Styela clava: one gene and its partners. The protein of the gene in region 1 interacts with the protein of each later gene in a pairwise test. Links are inferred from orthologs where the notes say so. Each region holds a gene or a part of one and is shown in the gene's direction. Other genes may lie near its edges.

Evidence for each region.
Region 2: the proteins of GRIP and coiled-coil domain-containing protein 1-like (region 1) and ras-related protein Rab-39B-like interact in a two-hybrid assay, tested with the Drosophila melanogaster proteins (2 studies listed by BioGRID). The link is inferred for Styela clava from reciprocal best matches to the Drosophila melanogaster genes GCC88 and Rab39.
Region 3: the proteins of GRIP and coiled-coil domain-containing protein 1-like (region 1) and ras-related protein Rab-6A-like interact in a two-hybrid assay, tested with the Drosophila melanogaster proteins (2 studies listed by BioGRID). The link is inferred for Styela clava from reciprocal best matches to the Drosophila melanogaster genes GCC88 and Rab6.

Annotation. Positions count from the first base shown.
Region 1 is NC_135252.1:3,461,141-3,468,957, forward strand, and holds the start of GRIP and coiled-coil domain-containing protein 1-like, read left to right. Parts: upstream 1-4,712; 5' UTR 4,713-4,778; coding exon 4,779-4,866; intron 4,867-5,130; coding exon 5,131-5,264; intron 5,265-5,895; coding exon 5,896-5,995; intron 5,996-6,365; coding exon 6,366-6,550; intron 6,551-7,593; coding exon 7,594-7,683; intron 7,684-7,817.
Region 2 is NC_135250.1:29,957,232-29,964,227, forward strand, and holds the start of ras-related protein Rab-39B-like, read left to right. Parts: upstream 1-3,881; 5' UTR 3,882-4,065; coding exon 4,066-4,263; intron 4,264-5,434; coding exon 5,435-5,544; intron 5,545-6,996.
Region 3 is NC_135256.1:11,597,041-11,604,261, reverse strand, and holds the start of ras-related protein Rab-6A-like, read left to right. Parts: upstream 1-4,185; 5' UTR 4,186-4,243; coding exon 4,244-4,307; intron 4,308-4,631; coding exon 4,632-4,690; intron 4,691-6,061; coding exon 6,062-6,115; intron 6,116-7,221. Other genes in the region: ankyrin repeat and MYND domain-containing protein 1-like, read left to right, coding at 1-63, 542-696, 1,015-1,282, 1,620-1,752. UniProt on the Drosophila melanogaster protein: Protein transport. Regulator of membrane traffic from the Golgi apparatus towards the endoplasmic reticulum (ER). Mediates membrane trafficking during egg chamber growth and organization, possibly upstream of exocyst component Sec5.

The DNA of each region.
Region 1 (7,817 bases):
CCGTCACGCTCCGATGGTTTGTTTGAAAGTTGTTAATGCTGAAGCAGTGTTTCCCAACCCGAGTCCGCGCTCTTAAATGAGTCCGTGGAGCGCTTGAATGAGTCCGCAACCAGCCAGAAATTCACTGCGTGCCGCAAACGCTTTTGCGAAACTCAACTATCAGCAAGTTATGATTTACGTTAGAATTTACATAAAACATAAAAAGCAAGTCCATTCACATAACATTAATCAAGTCAATAAAACTGGTTACTGAGTAGAGCAGGTCATATGGTCGAAAATTCAACTATTAAAATAAAAATTTGCCATTTGAAAATTTGGTAACAGGTGACGCGACGGGCCACTTGCGCGTCGCTTAATTGAACGATCGGATTTCACGACTCACTTGCGGATTTCCGACGAAAACACGATTATGCACACGATTCGATAGATACCTAAATGGTGTTTCGCGAGTTCGAACAACGAGGAATAAATTTTTTTTTGATGCTAAGTGTCGATGGTGGCAACCCAAATTTTCTAAATTGAAAAGCGGCAATACTAAAAATAAAACGGAGCACAACTCAAGTTTTGTCTTATGATGGACGGCGACCGATTAAATACGCCCTTTTAGACGTTACGAATCGCAAAATTTCGGGTGCTACCGTAGTAACGTACCAGTGTTGTACGAACAGCTCAGATTTGTCGAATTCACAAAAATACGAATCAAAACAAAATATAATCAGGCACTTTACCACGCATTTTTGTGTCCACGCATTGTCATGATATTTTCTGAGTTTCTACACCCGCAGATTAAAATGATCGCAATTAAATTAATAATAAAGCAACGCGATGAATATTTGATTCACTGATATACTTTAAATATATTTTTATTAAGTGCTAAATCAAGTTGTACTTTCTGGAAATTTATAGCAGATAGTAGGATTTTTCTAACGGCGATAACAAATTCGCAAGATCGCAAAAAATATGTATCCAAACTAAATAAAATCGGGCAATATATTCTCACATTATTATAGTCGCAGATTGACGTGCAATTTTAAAGAAGTAATGCTTTCATCTTGTCGTACGTGAGTCGACGCAACCGCGAGTTAACATGAACAAAATTGAATTAAAATAGAAGGACATTTTAAATTCTCGTCGTTGTCATGGATTGAATATTGTGCGACAGAAAATACCATTATTCACTAAAAAATTCGGCTCATTTACCGAACGCGTAATTGCGGCGAATTGCCGATTTTGAAATTTGTTAAAATTCTGTTGTGTTTGGTTTTATTGCTTTTTCACACAGAGTACGGTTGCAATAAACGCACATTGATTCCGCAATGGTTTTCGCCGGTGAGGAAATATTCCGCGACCAAAAAAGGTTGGGAACGCTGTGCTAAAGCATAGGAAGAATTTTTCGGGCGTCAAAGGTCTACGGTCTACTCTATAGGTTGCTGTCTTTGATGTTTATAATGCCACTCGACAGCTGGTCGTTGATAACATATGTAGTATACAGCAAATCCCATGTATACCATACCGGTACAGGTGAGGTGAAAACAACGACGTCTAGTGAACTATTGTCTCTCTGGCAGTAAACTTTACAGAGTGCTTTTCTAGGACTGTAGGATGAGGCTATGAGTGCTAATGGTGTGCGGATTCGCTAAAAACAGAATCCGAATCCGTCCGAAAATATTTCTGTTATTTCAGAATTCATCCGAATCCGGATTCCTTGGAAAAATATTCCGAAAAATTCCTTTATTTCGGGTAAAGATTTACAAACCTCAGCAAATTCCTCAGTGAATCATAACATTCTGCATATTCTATTTATACGCACAATATCAAGTTTAAACTCTGTGTAACAAAGAAAATCAGGTGAAAATGTGATATCGGGAACGACACACATGCTTCTGTGGCTTGATATAAAGCAATCCTGGGATTGATGGTCAAGAAATGTAGTGCAGATGAAAGTAATATTTCTTCTATAACGATTAAATCATGTTAACCTGCCATATTTAGTTACATGGAAGGTAAGAAGTATTCTGGGGAGTAACAAATAGTAATGCAATAATATATAAAATATTCCTAAAACGCTATCAGACTCCAGTCGCGTTGTCTGTGATACGATTGGAAATCACTCGCAATATGGAAACCAACATATCTCTATCATTGCTCTGATAATACTGTAATATGCTATTACCCATGCTACCAAAACTGATTACAAGAATATTAAGGTTCATTATTTGTGTACCTACATGATATAGAGTAGACCACATTTCAGCATTTTCAGTTAAATCATGAAATATGTAAAATTAAATAAAGCAAATTATGGCTTGCATCTGTCTGTCTGTACAGCTGTATATTCTGACATTGTGGATTTGCTGTTGATTGATCAATTTGGATTATCCCAAATGAACTGTAGTCGGGTAGTGCATAGTCAGATAGTGGACAATTCTACACTACTAAGTCAAATCAGGCATGACATTTAATACTCACCACCTTAACACAAATCCAAAAGGACTAACGGTACCCACCTTCAAGAACAACTTACAGAATAAACTCTGAAACTACAAGTTCAAAATTCAGCAAGTGCAAAAGCTAAAAAGTGCTGAATTCGAAAAGGATTCTCAAAACAATCATTCAAATAATACTCACATATTTGAATTCCGAAATGAATTTGAAAACAACAACTGGTAAATTCCTAACCGAACGGACTCTTTAGTTGTTCATGATAATAAAATCCTTCAAAAATTATACCAAAACACAAGACCGAAGCTTGTTCCTTTGCTTCGAGATATAGCAAACCATGACGAATCCTTCGCCACTCAAGGGTAGCAAACTAGCGAAGCCTTCCTGCAATGCCCAAAATTAGAAACGTGTGGTGACGGCAAAGAGTAGGACGGATAGACTGAAAGTTTATATCTTCAGTCAAAATTGAAAAACATATACAAATTAAATCGATTTCTTTCAAAATCCGGATAAATCCGGCGCAGTGTCCGATTTTGGAATCCGGATTCAATCCGGTAGCGAAAAAAAAAAATCATGAAATCCGGCCGGATTTCAATCCGGCGACCGGATTCTGCACAGCAACTCGACTACAAGGACAACTCGTCTAGCAGACTACAGAGAGTCCTGGTGAGCTGTCTGTCTTTTCGCATTTTCTACGGCGGTGTTTTAGGTTTATAGAAATGTGATTTTGATATTTTTAGGGTTAAAATGTTGAGAAAAATACATAAATATTCTCTAGAAAGCATTTTTATTTGTGTAAGTGGCTTATTTTGCTCATGTTATAGACGAATACAAATACAGTCTACACCTACAGACGAAATTGGAGTAACGTTAGCGAAGTTAGACTGTTGACTTATAGGCTAGAAGAGAGAGAGAGAGATTTATTGTTTTGTCAACCAGAAAACAAACAATGGTATACGAAAAAATATATACACTATACACATATTCAATTCGGTATAGACTGGAGCAGGGGTCTCAAACTCAATTTACTTGGGGGGCCGCTGGGGCAGAGTCTGGATGAATCCGGGCCGCATCAGGTTTTTTACAATAGAAGCTTAGCAACTCGTTTAAATTGTATTCCTTGTGCACTGCAACTTTAACTGTGCAGATAAAACATGTCGGGATGCTCCTATGCTCAACAAAGAAATATTGCATTTCCTAGTTATTTGAAATTGTCTCATCACCAACCTTTCTGTTTACTGAAACTTCACTTCCAACGACACGTTTGAGGATGTGCAAAATTATAAAATTCCATCTTGTTTCAATCAAGCATTCAGCCGCTGGACAGTGATGTTTCGCCACATGGGAAACATGGTTACAATGTATCAAGATAGTGATTGTGACGTCTAAAATCATGAAACACTGTTTTTAAATTATTTCAGACGGTCCCGACTCCCGCGATCGAATATCAGGCCTACAGGTATGGTACTGGTAGGTTACCGCACCACATATTCCTTTCAGGGGATAGATGATAAAATATTTCGTTTTGCCCTACGTGAGAGTTTCCCTTTTCGGCCACGGAACACTTACACTTTTTATATCGCCTCGCGGAACACCAAAAAATGAAAGGGTGAAATTGATTGACAAACTTTCAGCATTTGAAAGTAAAACCTGGTAGAGATGGAGGAAGAACGGTTGACCTTCTGCCTTTATTCTTTAGACTTACTTGTTTGTCTTCAACAAAACCAAAAGAAGTACTGTAAACTTGATAATGAAATTGACAGTCAAAAAGATAAACCGACGGTTAACAAAAATGCCACCACCCTAACTTAGTTAGTCCACTTTAGGTCGACGGTGACGCGATCTTAAACGGTCAGTTTGGCAACAACTTCATGATTCTCACATCGCCATGGCGACCAATTTAGATGTATTTTTTATCCTTTTTCCACGCAACACTCGGGAGATGTTCGCGTAACATTAGTGTTCCGCGGAACACAGTTTGGGAAACGCTGTTATAATGAAAGCATTAATCATGCTGAGCTAAGTGACTTGCGGCCGCACTAACATTAAACTATTTTACCAAGGCAGGGGCCACAAAATATCATCTCGCGGGCCACAAGTTTGAGACCCCTAGACTGGAGGGAGCGATACGACCATAATTTTGTGGTCGCTGGCTGATTACCTAGGGTCCTAGACTATCTGTCTTTGGTCGTATCGCCAACCCTTAGTCCATCCCAAAATTATGTGGTCATTTAGTCTATTTCTTAATCAATATGATTTTATATTTCTAGTGACAAAAAATAAACCATCTGTTACTGTAACATTATTGAAACAAATTTCAGAAGCAAGTTCTGAAGATGTTTAAATTTAATAAAAACGCTGAGTTGTTGGATACAATAGAAAAACAGAAAGCACAACTTGGTCGTTATGAGAGTCGCTTGCGAGGTTTGTTGTATATATTCAATGATTTCCTTTCTTTAAGCAGTTCTACATAGAAGAAGATTAAAATGCTATATGCTGATATGAATGCTGGAATACCATAATATACAGATATTTGGAAATATGGTATCTTAGCCTGAAACTCTATATTAATCATATCTGAGTTTTTTTAACCTATTCTTTATTTACCTAAGTCTGTAAGTGTATGTTGTCGCTACAGCTATGAGCAATATCAAATTGCACAAATAAAATTAATTATTTTTATTTTAGATTTGGTTTCTGCTTACAAAAGTCTGCAAAATGAAAAGGAAGCGTTAGAAGCAAGTGTCAAAGCATTGTCATCATGTCATGCGAGTCCTAGTCTTGGAAGAAAGTCAAAGCCTAGTCTAGGATCCAAACCGTTGGTATGTAGCAAATGTTTAACAATCAATTATTTGCTAGCTCAAATAGTAAAATACAAGTGTATATTTTTTTATATTTTTCACTTAATGAATCAATTAGCTGATGGTTTATTGTTTGATAATGATATATGTTATGGCCATTCAATAAATAGGCTACAATATTTCAGTGGGTCAGTAATAGTAATGATCATGATAAATGGCATCAAAGGTAACATATGATGAAAATGTTATTAAGATTTAAATTGAATAAATAATGAAATGAAATTTTGGCCTCTATTTCCTTGGGGAAGAATTCTGCAATTTCACTTGATGAGTTTAGAATACCTATCAGTGACCTTACCCAAGCTGGTTTCAAGGGTTAAATTTTGGATATAATCGAAGTTGCATATTGGCCAATGAACAGTATGCTGTTACATACGAGTCTTAGACTAATAAAATTTGATGTAGTTCGTTTGCTCCAAAAATTTTGCTTAAAGTAATGTGTTATCACTGAAATTATGTGTGCATATGGAGAAAAAAAGGTCGTAGAAAAAAGAACAAAAAAAAAGATTATACACCGGCTTTAAAAGTTCCAAAAGGGTACATATCAATAAAACTAGAATGAAAAAAATTTCAAACTATAATTGAACCTTAGTTGGTGGGGCCAACAGGACAAAATTCACTTGATGTTGATGATCAATCAAGCGCCAAACACGATGCCACGGAGAAAGATGATGATGTTCCAGAAGAGAAAGGTTTGGTGATTGTTGTGTGAATATTTAGTTCGTTTTACTTTTAATTATCTATGTGACATGGTTTTTTGTAACTTTTGTTGGTTGGGACTCACACTTTGTACATGTTTTGTTTTGTATGCACCTATCTATATCCTGGAACAATTAACTTATTAGGTATCATTTGAACTATTAAACGAATGGGATATAATTTGCATACTATTGTAGGCTATTATGTGATAAATTTTCTGATACATATCTGAACTAGTTTATCTTCTATGATTTATGGGGTTCATATAGAATGGCTGTATAATATTATGTTTCAGATTTAATTCATATCATTGAAGTTGAAAATAAATTCATATCAATTTGATTCAAAACTGTATACCTTTAGAGAAGGAAAATTCTGCATCTGATGTGTCACACCAAGATGAGGCTGAAGGTGAAAATGATTCAACAGTTGAAGAATTGAAAAATTTGCAACATCAAATTGCAACACTAACAATGTCATTGTCTACTGTCACTGAGGAGAAATCAAAGATAGTTGCCACATACCAGGCTGAAAAACGAAAACTGAAGGTTTGCTATAAGTATAGTCTTGAAAATCCTTTGTTTTGTTTATATTTTCAACCTTTGTACATTTGACATTGTTGAGTTGTTTCATACAATTAAACAAAAATTTATTCGAAGGAATAGGAATATGTTGGCTGAATGGATGTGTGAATGAATATATCGCCACATTAAAACCAATCTAGCTTATGTCTCATTTCTCAGAAATGAATTTTTTTTTATCTTCTGTCATTATTTCCCAGCCATCTAATGGTCTGGGTTTCAAAGCTGTATCAGTTTTAGTTTTGATTTTAGATAGTAGTGCCTTTTATCCAATCATAGGTTTGGCTCTACAGATCTAAAAATGACAATAAAATCTATCTTCTTAAAATCTAAAAATGTGCTAATTTAATTCTCCTGTGTCGATATGCACAGGATTTGGGAGGCAGTTACTGAATAATAATGAATTGACGAATTGAATAATTATTACGCTTAGAAATCTTGCATTGTAGATAATATTCTATAAATTATTGGTATTTTGTTATAATTGTTCGCACACTAAACTGTGTCAATTTTAGTGTTCTGTGTCCTTTTTTCACAAAAATACAAAAGCCTTGGCATTTTTGAATTAGATTCTTCATCTAAAATTGCATGTCCAGGCCTCAGAATATTTTGTCCGGTATGGAGTAATTTGTTTATAAACATCTCTAGATAGTGGCATTTTATATAATAGAAGTGACAAAAATAAACCAGAGTGAAGCCAACTAGCATGTGAGACCATGCAGTCACTGATCCCTCAGAGTGACCACCGCTGCGACGCAAAATCTAGCTGTAAAGTCTGTAGCCCTTTCGAAATTTTCTGACATAGCATGGGAAAAGAAATACTCTTGATCATTCATCTAAACTCTGATAATGTGTAAAGCTGTGGATTTGAGATCAATGCTTTGTTGAATTGTTGCCATTCATTTGATTGGGTAAAATCTTACTAACCAGAATCTAAATACTAAAGCTACATCATGTTGGTAAATAATCGTTGTCTATTTGTGATTGTCAAAATGACCTTGTTTCAACAGCAAGAAACTGATACACAGTTATTAGAAATGAGAGAAGAGTTGGGAGATCTCAGAAAAAAGAATCAGGAATTGGAAGAGGAATTTAATATGGTAAAAAATGTTATTTATGAATTGTGATATATGAAGAATTTAAATAATTAAAAGTGTTTTACGTTATTGACAATTTTAAATATTATATATAATATACCAACTGGTTATTTGTGCCTGGAAACTTCCTGCAAAAA
Region 2 (6,996 bases), on another chromosome or scaffold:
ACCACGGCGCCATTCGCCATGGTTTTATGGCGCTATTTCCGGTAAATTTACAAGGTTATGTACCGGATTATAGGTCATCATGCGAAATTTTATCTACCTTTTTGGTGCTTTAGAGCATAGGTTCTCAAAGTGCTCCGTACGGAGCCCCAGGGCTCCGCGAGAGTAACCCAGGGGCTCCGCGAGCTATTCGATTACTTTTCAAAATACTGACTTGGCTAATTTAAAACTGTTCCTAGAAGCAATAACAGCTTTGATGAAATTTGACAACAACATAGCCTCGAAATATGGCAAAGGGGCGGAATTAAGAAATGACATTATTTTTATAGGCAGGAGCGCAGCCAGGATTCTTAAGAGGGAAGAGGTTCAAAATTGGAATCGGAAATTTACGCGCAACATTCTTGGCAATTAAAAAAAACGGATAACGAGATTTCTGTTGCCTAAAATATTCAATTCATGACCGATGCGAGCATCTAAATTCTAAAGTGTCTTGTCGTAATAATTTAATTGTGCTCATCGTTACTCACGTTCGATTCGAAATTACTATTAGGATTACTAAAATGATAAAATACTATTCTAAAATAATATAAACTGCGTGATAAACTGCTAACTATAAATAAATTGGAGTCGTATTTTTGTGATCTTGGGATTTGTTAAACTTGATTTGTTCTTTCGCACTCGAGATTATTTTCAAGCAAGATGTCGCCGTTTGAAAAATCACAAGGTCTTGGCAAAATACGAACGATTGAAATTTATTTTAGTGCATGCGGCTCTGTCGGTAGTTTCAGAAAGGAAAAATGGTACACCAGGCGCATAATTAATTGACTGTGTTTCAATTTCGCAGTTACTACGATGAATAACCGAAAACCTAACATAACACCAAATTTATGATTTACGATGTCTATAACAGCGTTTTTATTCTGACGTGAGTCTGCTGAAACAAAAACTTATGGTGTTATCTTCCATTTTAAGTTTTAGTTCTAATATTTTAGAATGCCGCTTTTTAATCAAGAAATTTGAATTGCGGATTTACCTCTTTATTAACTATTATTTTTAGCATTTCGTCGCCGATGATTATAATATGGTAACATGTTTTTCACATTGAACTCATAATTCCCCACGAGATTTATTTATGACTTCTATTGACCCTAATAAAAGTGTTTAGTATTTAAATTGAGTAAAAGTACGTTTAACTTACTCAGGAATATTATTCGGAAAGTAACAATTTTAACATTTATTATGGGGCTCCGTGAATAATAGTCAACCTTTTTAAGGGCTCCGCAACACCAAAAGTTTGAGAACCCCTGCTCTAGAGCATAGGTTCTCAAAGTGCTCCGTACGGAGCCCCAGGGCTCCGCGAGAGAAACCCAGGGGCTCCGCGAGCTATTCGATTACTTTTCAAAATAATGACTAGTTTTGTAACTGTTCAAAGAAGCAATAACAGCTTTGATAAAATTTGACAACAATATAGCCTCGAAATATGGCAAAGAGGCGGAATTAAAAAATGACATTATTTATAAGCTGGAGCGCAGCCAGGATTCTCAAGAGGTGGGGATTTGAATCGGAAATTTCCGCGCACCATTCTTTGCGATTATAAAAAATGGATAACGAGATTTGTGTTGCGTAAAATATTCAATGTATGGCCGATGCGAGCATTTAAAGTGTCTTGTCGTAATAATTCAATTGTACTCATAGTTACACAAGTTTCATTCGAGATTACTATTAGGATTACTAAAATGAAAGAATACTATTCTAAAATAACATAAAATACGTGATAAACTGCCAACTATAAATAAATTGGAGTCGTATTTTTGCGATCTTGGAATTTGTCAAACTTGATTTGTTCTTTTGCACTCGAGATTATTATTAAGCAAGATATCGCCGTTTAAAAAATCACAAGATCTGGGCAAAATACGATTGAAATTTATTTTGCATGCGGCTCCGTCGGTAGTTTCAGAATAAAAAAAGGTAAATCGCGCACACAATTGACTGTGTTTCGATTTCGCAGGTACTATATATACGATGAATAACCAAAGAAAACCCAACATAACACCAAATTTTGTGATTTACAATGCCTATAAGAGCGTTTTTAATCTGACGTGAGTCTGCTAAAACCAAACTTATAGTGTGATCTTTTATTTTAAGTTTTAATATTTTAGAATGCCGTTTTTCAATCAAGAAATTTGAGTTGCGGATTTACCTCTTTATTCTTAATTATTATTTTTAGCATTTCGTCGCCGATGACTATATGGTAACAAATTTTTCACATTGAACTCATAATTCCCCACGAGGACAAAAAAGCAATTATCGTCGTCATTGTGAAACAAAACATGTATATGCCGAAGAAAATTTTTGATTTAGGGAGAATGAACACCGGCGTAAAGATGTTTAAAAACATGCCATGCTGACGAAAACTATCGGTGATTGTAACAAAATGCAATCGCGCACGCTAATAGCGGCCTTTTGAGTCTTCCGAAAATTTCAAAAGGGAAAAGATTCGACCCCTAGTTTATCAATATGTTTGTCAAGTGTCAAATTTACAGCTTTAGTAAGAGTATATATAATTTATCTTTAAAATTTTGATTTATTTATGACTTGCATTAACCCCATTAAAAAAAAGGTTTAGCATTTAAATTAAGTTAAGTACTTTTAACTTACTCAGGAATATTTATCGGAAAGCTACAATTTTGACATTTCTTTTGGGGCTCCGCGAATAATAATCAACCTTTTCAGGGGCTCCGCAACACTAAAAGTTTGAGAACCCCTGCTCTAGAGTCTAGAAGTATGTGCAGCAATATGTCGCACAACCTGAACCCGCTACACACACACACACACTATTTTCAGGTTGTGCGCCATCTTGGTGCACATACTTCTGGAGGCCCCTTTCTACCTAACCCTAAAGCCAACCATATCCATATGGAAAATGTTCTAAATTATGGTACCCAAAATGTGTCACCAGCAGGGGCGGACCTGCCATTACAGCATTACTGGCTACATACGTTGGTTTGTGTTTTTAATTTGCTGCCGTGGTACTCCAACTCAAAACAAGGTGCCCCGAACTCATTGCAAAATTTTTTTCTGCTTCACACTGTTTCCCTCTGTTTTGCGCTCTTTCGCTCCTGTTTTGCGCTGTTCCCCCACTGTTTTGCGATGTTTCCCTCTGTTTTGCGCTCTTTGCGGTGTTTCGCGCTGTATTCAGTAAGTAGTAAGACCGCTACCAGTAGCCGTATCGGAGAACTAACAACTCGACTACACGGCTAAATAACCAGAGACAACTCGATTGCCAGGGATAGAAGTAACGGTACGAGGACTGTCGTAGCTTTTCCAGATCATGTGGCGATGATGCATCCTTCATGATTCTGTTCCAGCGTGAATTGAAATACTTGAATCAAGTCACGCCTGTATTACCAGATCAGGTACTGCAGTCTCGCGTTTTTCATAAAAAACTTTTGCACGCGGTCCATCGACGTTCGCAGAGCACGAGATCCGCCGATATGCTTTTACGGAACCACCACAAGGTGGCAAATTTTAATTTAGGGGAACAGACACTATTCAATCTTGAACATTATGTAGACTTTTAATTGACGTTCATGCTATTTTGCACTGGTTTAATCTCAGTTCATATTCTACCGCAAAGAATTCTACATTAAAACAAAACTTTTTGGCATTCACATTTTCAACTCCACAACTGAAAATCAATAACAAAGATTCAAGTTGCCAGAAGTATAAAAGATTTTCAACAGTGTTTCATTACTACAAATTACATGTATATCATCCAACTCCATAAATATATTATTCAGTAGTATGTCAGTCATAAATTACAGTAAACACTCATATTTAAATTTTATATCTAATATCTAATACTAGAGGATTTTATTCGGAGCAATCGCTTTCAAATATCTGGCAACGCAAAGTCCAACATCTGTGTAGTTTGTGCAGTCATCAATAATGAAACGATTTATCGTAAGATATTGGTAAAACATGTCACGTATTATCAGTGGCGCTGCTTTACCTGTTTGTGTGCGCCGATAAAACTTATTAATTCTTTAAAATAAAGAATAATCGTGCATGAGGGCGGCACAAAGACTTAGTTTAGGCTGTTGTGGACCGACTTTTTCGATGGCAGACGTGCAGCAGCAACCGAATGGGTCCCCGTCTAGAGGGGAAACGATATGGTCTTATCAATTTCGGATTGTATTGATTGGAGACTCTACTGTAGGAAAATCAGCGCTGTTAAGGAGATTTAGCGATGGAGATTTTTTAGAGGTAAATTGATTGTGTATAAAGGTCCCCAATTTGAATAATACTTTGATGCGAAAATTCGCATTGGTGTGTTGTTTGGTACCACATGCAGACATGCACTTCTAGTTGGCCTGGCTCAACAATTTTTGCATATGTCCATCCTAACCCCCACTTGACTTCGTCACCGAAAAATTACGTCTTTTCGACGTCACAGTGGCGTAATGTTGCCTACCAAAGAATGCGAATGGTCGTCAAAAATGCGCAGATGATCACCCGAAATGGAGCAAGCTATTCTCTCGTTTTCTCCTCACAACGATCACGATAGGCAATAGGAGAGAGATCGCCGAGTTCGTTATCGAACTTTAGCGAGTTCGTTATCGGCAGCGCAGATATCATTTTGGGCGATCGTAATTGTCTTTGGCAAGTCATATGACGTGATGATGACGTCGTAGTGAGTGACATAACTTTTGGATGGAATAGTCAGGTGGGGGTTAAGAATAACATATGCCAAATTTGTTATGCTACGCCCACTGGAAGTACTTGTGCTACTAAACTATACTAGACCCCGAAAATTTGCATGGGTGCGTTGTTTTCAATTTTTTCGCACTCTAAAAACGATTGTGGCTGAACAGGAGAATCCACTGATAACAGTACTATAATATTGTACCGTAAAGCTGTATGCTATTAAACCCCCTTTATACGTTTTTGCCTGTCATTGTTTTCGTGTTGTTTCATAGAGAAAGGGGCAAATTGAAATTGGTTTAAAAATAAAAGTTGTAGAATATTGATTGGAATGATGTAGGTTAGCATTGAATACGTGAGAAAGTGACCATTTTTTGATTCATATAGGACAGGGGTGGGCAACTTTTCTAGTCGGCGGGCCAGATGTGGGAAAAAGAAGTCCACGTTGGGCCGTATTTTTACATGAATAGTATTCAATATTTTAATCATATATTTATTCGCTATTGCAAGAGAGAAATTTATAAATCAGGTTTAAAGTTTAAACTTCACGAAAAAATAGAGACCAAAAAACACATAATGAATTTATCATAATCTACTAAAAGTGTAATATCATAATGTACTGATGTACAGTCAGCGGGCCGGTCAAAATCTCGTCGCTGATTGGACCCAGCCCGCGAGCCGTATGTTGCCCACCCCTGATATAGGCTATGATATTTGTAATTTAAATTCTTAGATCTCCGACCCCACTGTGGGTGTCGACTTCTACGCCAGATTGATTGAAATTGCTCCTTCAATAAGGATTAAATTACAGTTATGGGACACTGCTGGACAAGAAAGATTCAGGTAATGTTGAATAATACAGTAGTAAGTAGGGGAAAGTGGAGAGGTATGGGCCACCTTGAGGTATGGGCCATTGGAAGTTCAACAGCTTTATAATATCCCAATCACCTGTAACTTGGTGTGATTATTGCATAGGTCCCACCAAATAACACATGTTATTTGCAGGTCAGCAGCTTACAAGGTGTCTCAGCTATGAGGTACTAAGTGATTTCTCGTAGAAAAGCTTTTTTTTTGAAAAATTAGAATAATTGGGATAGCACGATCAGTTGTGGTTCTTTAATAAAATCTGTCAAAGGCCTAGGAACCTGTGTCTTGGTCCTGTTAAAGAAAGTGTTGGATGAAACAGCTCATCTTTTTTTGTAATCAAATTTTGTCTGAAAACATGGCGGGAAGGGTGCCTGAGGTATGGGCCATTTTGGATGCTTAGGTATGGGCCTGCCATACCATGTCGGTAGTCGTGTTAATCAATATAAACGATGATAGTGACCTAGGGAAATGTAGTATCTAATGAGAATGTCTTTAGTTTTCGCCATTCTTTCGTGTTTCTGCAATGCAATGTATATCTTCTGCCAAATCAGATGACCTGCCTGGATCATCACGAATGGTCGTTTCCCCAGAAATTATACGTCATTGCCAAAAGCCCCCGTCCAAAAGTACAACTCTCGCAAAAGCAGATAGAAAAGATTTTAATTAAGAAGAAGCAATTAAGAAAAAAAGTAAAGCAAGGTAAAAAAGCGGGAAGACAGGAATAATCATATAATTCGTTAACAGTGATTTAACAGTAGCATTGTTAGACAGCTCGGAAAGTGACATCTTTGAAATAGATTTGGATAATGTTGTCTGCTGTTTTAAAGATCCAGCACTCACTAGAGACAGAGCAGTGACATACAAATTTATGGGGACTGTGAATGCAAATGAGACAAAGCTGTGCTGCAAATTTCCAGGATATATATGAATACTGGCTATTCTATGATTGGTGATAATTTTGTTGCATATTACCAATGTTTTATTTAAAAAACAGCTTTATTGATTGTAGAAACTATGTTTACTTATGGGGTTTGGGATTGAGTAAAGTTGTATTTCACAATAAGCACTGGGTTTTAGTTTTTTGATGGTGGCCCATACTTGACACTGCCTGGCCCATACCTCAAATGATAAAAAAATTTTGTGTAAATTATATTTTTGTGGAAAAATACATTTTTTTCCAAAACTACTTTTGAAAACTCCAAAACAATGCTGGGAATAGTTAGCTGTTTTGTTAAACATTCAGTGGGTAAAAGAGTGAATATTTAGTTCAAAGGGCCAAAGCGTTGTAGCCCTCCAAAGTTTGGTGGCCCATACCTCTCCACTTTCCCCTACATATTTGAAGCCTGTCATGATTTTTTTATCCAGCAAACTTCTTGCAGGGTGATCAGAGTTGCGGTGGGGAACGTATTCCTAACACTCATCATGATG
Region 3 (7,221 bases), on another chromosome or scaffold:
AGATAAGCAAGTTAAACCTGTAAAAAAATCAATTAAAGGAAGGTCAGGTTCAGGTCCGATTAGGTGAGATTGTATCTCTGTTCTTTGTTGTCATTTTTCATTCGATTCGCAGGCTGTAGTTGATCATTAGTGCAATAAAATTTGAAACTTTACAATATATAGGAATGAGGCATTTGGACATCTCTTCAATTGGGCGGATACGATCTTTTTTTTTAAATAATTTTATCTGATTAATTACCGTAGGATAAACAACATACTTTTTATAATACTTTTGAAAATAGAAATTTCAACAATTCTTTGCAAATTGAGTATTGGTTGATTATACTCATTCCCCACAATCCATGTTATGACAAAACAACAAGGTTCTAAATGAATCTACAATAATTCAGAAATACTTTTTCATTTTTTGCAATGAGTAAAAAAGGAATTGAAAAATTTGGACAAAGACAATGTTGGCTGATTTATATTTGGCATAGGAGAATAGACCCTTTCTACCCAATTTGTAAAATTCAATGCTTGATTCAATTTCAATCCTTTTCAGAAAACCCCTTTTTCGTTATTGTTATGAATGTGGTCGATCTGTTGGTGTGCGTTTGACAACATGTTCTAGATGTCGTGAAGTTTATTATTGCAGTAGATCCTGTAAACTAAAAGCCTGGGAAGAACGACACAAGGCTGAATGTCTTCGTATAAAAAGTATGTGACATGTTGCAATTTTTTTCTTAATAATATAGTTTCGATCCTTGATAGATTTGTTGTTTAGGATAGGATATACATATTTATCCCGAGGAAGAAAGGCGATAAGGCGGCTTAACCATACAGCGCCGAGAAATCCAGCAATCCTCTTGCACATAACCATCCCGCATGGGATTCGAACCAATGCAGGGTAAACAGAGGTGCGGTGATACGCCTAACGCTTAGCACGATGCGCCACACCCTCGAGTCGTTAACTTGTTTGAAAACTGATTAATATATTTTTTTTCCAGTCTTCACATTACACCCTTTTATTTTCAGATAAGAGAGAACAGTCCTCCCCATCTGCAAATGAAATTGCTTCTTATTTTACAATTCACACTTTGAAAGAAGCAATTGAAAATGACCCAACAAGCAACAGCATGAAAATATTACCCAAAAACATAGTCACTAACACGGAGTTCATGCCAAGATCTAAATCTGGTAGAACTACTTCAAGTCATCTCAAATTTGGTAAAACGAAAGGAAAGCCAAGGAAGAAGACTGCTTCATCACGATCCACAAGTGTTCTCCAGCCTTCAACTGGAAAGTATGTAATGATTATGTGAAATGATAACATCATCTTTGATTGTTATTATTCATTGTATTCACTGCCAAATTTTTTTTGTATATTATATGAAGTGCAGCCTAAAGTGTAGGAAAAGACAAATATGGCTGAATAAACATATTATACTTTGGAAACGGACGTTTCTACATTCATAACCGCACATTTTATCTTTACCAATTTAATTTTATCGAAAGCTTCCAGAATCAGTAACTTCAAAGATGTTACTTTTTGTCAGTCACTGAATATATATATTGAATATACCATAATGTCTCAAATCACTTATTTTTCATCCGTATTCAACTGTAATTATATTACACAGATCATTACTGCCGAGTCGCAGGGCTCATGTGGGAGAGATTCTGCAGTCAAAAGTTGGAAAAGCAGTTTATTTTGGAACAACAGGAATGACGTTGGCTGAACTTGGAATTAAAGAGAACTACAGCTTTGAATGAGTGACATCACAATGGTGTTGGCTATTTTGTTTGTTGTCAATTTGATATTCAATATTAATAATTGATTTACTGTATAACTGTAGGAGGATCATTACATTTTGAGTGTTTCATCGTCTCATAAATAAAAGAGTTAGTTTGGTGAAGGAGGTGCCACATCTAACCATATTTGCCTTGATGACTGTGTTTCACAAGATATGTAGTTGGTGACACATTCTTACATTGTTCACAACATTTTGGATTTTAAAAAATCCGTTGGGTTTTCTTTATATCAGTTTTGTTATAAAATTGCACAATAGCAACGACAATTGAGGCTCCTATATTTTAGTTTGTTGCTTAACTCATAGCATCTCATCTGTTGCTTGCATTATGCTTTAGTGCGTCCCTACTTTAAAAATAAATAATGATACTTGAACATGAACAAATGCAATAGTCCAAGACAGACACCACTGTAGTTGTAAATCAAATTCCATGACAATATTTAATGTTGATGGGAGAACCAAACAATTTTGTAAAAGCGTATCAAATTTATAGAATTTTACAGTAATTAATCTTTTCAAGAATTATTTTGGTCTTTATTCAAAAACTCGGCCTTTTCCAAAGTAAAAATAGATTGCTGTCGTTTCTCTTGATATTGTTATATTTTCGTATTGAAGTTCCAATATTATTGCTTTATTCTAGTTTTTAACAAATGTTTTTGTATAAGAATTTATTCAACTTCGCTTCATTAGATGCCAAAGCATACTTTTTATGCATCCAACACATTTGTACTTGCAATTAATAGTTTTAATTTAATGTATATTTATCTGCATAAATCTGTTGCTTGTTTAGTTTTGCGACATTTAGAATTTTTATGTACATTTTTACAGAGAAAATATAATCGTAGTTATTCATTGAACTGCCTATTCTTTTATAAAAACCAGTTGGACGGGAATTCGCATCTATATAACCAACGACATTAAACAACTGTCAAAGCAGGCACGAACACCATTCGTGCTATGCCTTGAAAGCAGCACACATCCGCTCGTTTTCGTCTCGTCAAGTATGTGCATTGGAGCGTGCTATCGGATACAATCTTCGGCTAAAAATGCCGGAGTTGCGCATCATGTTGCTTAATATCATTGGTATAACGCATTGCAATTAACACAATAACTAGTAGTATCGTTTTAGCCCAGAGGAAGACCAACAAAACGAATAAATGCCACTGTATTCTGAACACTGATGGAGTTAGCTAGATTACCAAAGTGCGCTTGTATCGTGCGTTGGCGTTTAACTTCTAAATGGCATTGCAAATGTATTTAAATTGTGTTCCCCACCAAGAAGGACTGACCCAATGCAATTTTTTGCGACTTCTGATGAAAAATCTTGAAAAAAATAGTCACGCTTGAGAGACGGCCATCATAATCTTTTCGCATCAGCAAAAATTACGCCAGGTGGTGACGTAATCGCGGCTACGGATGCATTGGAATTCAGATTTTGTACTTTGTTCGAACGTGAATCATGTGCTTTTTGATAATTATTTCGTTGTAAATTGATAATTTGTGAGACCAAATATGATATATAGTCAATAGTAGGAACATGTGCTCTGGTATGGTTTGTATGTGTACCTGGGTAATGGGTATATGACTACACATTACACGTACCGTAACTTATCGGTACCACCGTAGACCTGTAAACTCTGTATTACTACTGCTGTACTGTACTATGGGTGTTGAGTTTCATGATTTCTCGTCTTCATTTTTTGTCAACCTCAAGTGGAAAGTTCTCAAGAATCTGGGGAAGCTACTCAATTGCTTGTATCTCTTTTAATTAAAGGGATAGGATTTTCATATTTATTGGTGAAAGATGTACAATACTGCGATATTACAATGTATCATAGGGCAGATCAACTCTCGTTTTATTGCCAGTCTTGGTTAGGATGTTATGAGAATGAGGTTGTTACCCATTCTATCTAAACTGGAAATTGATTCCTCCTGCTGTAACACGTTTTCTCAACACTTTTTCCCAGATAAGATCATTTTGAATCGGTCAAGTTTAAAGTTTGTCAGTTGTCTTTTGACAAGCGTTAATTTGGGATTCACTTTTGTCAGTTTTCTTCTTATTTATCTTCACGAACATACTAAGCATTCTTTTATATATAAATTACATAAAATGTGTTGCTACACAAATCTATTATCTGTCTTGATTGTTGTTCTTTCAGCAAATTTGATAGAAACTAGTTGCAACTTTCAGTATAACATTGTCATTCTAATCACCGGTAACCACTTATTATTCTGCAACTTATGGGCAATGAATTTGTTTCATCAATAGATGCCAAAGCCAAATAATCTACCATACTATTTAATATAGTATAAACTTGAGAATTTTCTATAGCACAATTATAAGTTACCTTCAAATGTTTATACCGATAAATTCACGATAAAATTCTTTTAAATTCTTCGTATGACAGAGTCTTATTAATATAATTAAAGTTTATTATCTATTTAATATTAAAATGACGAGCGATTTTGGGAATCCGTTACGGAAATTTAAGTTAGTGTTCCTGGGTGAACAAAGTGGTGAGTGTGTTATTTCTGATAAGAGTTTTGTCACATTATAAAATATTTTTAAAATGTCATAAAATCACTCTAATTAATGTGTTACTACTAAATAAGAATATTCATTATTTATGGCTTAAAAATGAAATCCCGTTTTTTCTCATTTATTAGATTTGTAGTTTTTTTCAACTTTTCATCATATCCTTTATCTTTGATGTACTTTATTTGTGTTTATTTTTTATGCAAAAGTTTAAATTAAAGCTAGGTAGTTCTTTTGGATTATTACTAGGATTATGACAAAATAATGTTATTTTGCATACTAATCTTATATTATTAATTTTACAGTGGGGAAAACATCGCTTATTACAAGATTTATGTATGACAGTTTTGATAACACGTATCAGGTGATTATTGTTGTAAAAAAAAATTGTACCGGTAATTCTTATAAATGTAATCTCAGCTGATTGAGACCAATGGTGCTGGGTGGTGAGTCTGGTGATAGTATGATGAACATTTACTGTCAACTTGGGCGTTAACAATCATAACTAACAGTAGATGCCTCAAATTTTTGCCTCGACGAATTGTTGAATAGTTTTTTATTATAAAAAGTATTCATTAATGGCGGGATATACCTATGAAAAAAGTTTTGAAAAGATAGTAGATGCATTTTCTATTGTATTGGATGTCAAAAGTTGAATATTCAGAATTCATCATTTTTAAGATTTACTTTCTCTTAAAAAAATTATTATATTCATGAGGAAAATCGAGGATTGGCGATGAGTAGGGAAATTCTTTTCACGATTTCTCTTCACTTTCGCAATGAACTTCTTCACTATTGAATAGATTTTCAGTTTTAAAAAATGTATTGAGCACGTGATTTATTTTCGTTACACATAAGGAGTTGACAATAACTTGAATATAAAATGATGATAATCAGGCCTGAAAATCTTCTAGCACCATTGGTTCTGGAAATTGTAGCATATTGTGAATAATATTATTATATTTTATGAATTTTCAAACAATATTTTTTGTCAGATTGCTTTCTGGAGTCTAATAAGATTTTGCTCATTACTCCAATAACTGATAAATAGTGGTAAATCTTGATTTGTTTGCGGTCTTAGTGTGTTAACACTACAGTGCTAAAATTTTATTTTCAATATCAATTTAGTTACTCTTTTCTGTTAACTTATGCTGCTTTTCGTGTTTTATTTTAACGCTTTCATGGGCATCATTGCTTGACCAAGTCTAAGGTACAATATTTGTTAGCTTCATGCATGAGAACAATACTGTATGGCCCACTCTCCCATCATCTTTCTATCTGATTTGCTAGAATCGCAAAAAATTGATCAGTATTTCAACTGGCCTACAAATTAAAAAATGTAGCAGGCTTTGGACATGGCATAATTTTTTATACGTCTGTCTTCAAATAGGTTCAATTTTTGGCTTCCTCAAGTTTTATCTTGATAAATTAAATAAAGATGTTTTGTACAACTGTGTTGTTTTTTAATACTGGATAATTGTAGATCATCAAAGTCTAAATCATAATTCACCCATGGGAATCTAAAGCGAGTAAAACAAACCGTCACATGAAAATGGAATTCCCTGTAATGTTTGGCTCATACACGTTGTATCTTTGTTTTGTCTGATTTGCATGTATGTTAGGCACTAAGACCGCTGTCTTGAATAAAATCAATTTTTATGTAGAGATCGCAGTAGTCTTTTTTACCACTTTCACTTCTGACTTTTGTCTGAATTCAAAACTTATTTTGTTGCAGGCCACAATAGGAATTGATTTTCTTTCAAAAACAATGTATTTGGAAGACCGAACGGTAAGAACCTACATTCAGCATTTAGAATCGTAAATTAGGCAAAATATTTTTATTGAAGGGTCTTTTTTGTTGAAATAATTCCAATGAAGATTAAAAAAGGAGAATCAGCCTATTTAAAGTTCTCAAATTGTTTAGATATAGCATGCTGTTACACAGAATAACATTAGGTTATAAATATCAACGGCCATACAAAAAAATTATACCTATTGTGCAATAAGGATGAGGGTGATTCAAATCTTACTCAAACATACAAGTCTAGACATGGTGCCATCAATCACATCAGTCTTCCTGAACTGGTAGATTTTTTGTATAGGAAAGATGTTGCTTTACGTCTAAGTAACATTACCAAAGTGTTTATTGATTGGTATATATAGAAGATATAGATATATAAAAATACACAAATTTTAGGAATGTGGTTTTCAATACAAACTCAGAACAGCTAGCAACTGTCATCCGTTATAATATCTAAAATCCTGTTAGTGACTTTAGATTTTCTCCAGGTCATATGAAAGACATACCTAAAATGAGTCTTATCTCTATACCTAAAATAAATATTAGAAATTTTCTCTAACCAATCCAACCATGTAATAGAGATGCCTATTTTGAAAAGTTGTTTGGTAGTTGGTTTGAATTTTCTTCGTTACAAATTTTAGCTTGCCATATCAGTAATAATCACATTTGTGAAAGAAAAGGAATTCGTATACAGTGATATCTCGGTGTTACTCATTCTTGACAAATATTACAAGAACAAAATTCTGCCTACCTTTTATAAATTGACATTGTTTGTGTTTTGGTTATTCTCAACTTTGGTAAAATGAAGTCTAATGGTGAAAATACTGTTAGTAAAAATGGAGTGTTTTTGTTTTAATATGGAGCCTGATAATATGTAATCAAATAACTGGAAATTGACTTTATTGTATTTTCGACGTTTTGTCTTCCCAGAGGAAAAGATAGACTAGACGTTCGTAGGTCATGTTCAATATTTCGATATCTGTCTGGGCGTTTTTAGACTCGGTAATTGAACGAATGCACAGTCAACTTAATAGCCTAGAAATTCCTACCAGACGGACTTGCTATGAATAATTCAAAAGTCTGTGAAAACCGTC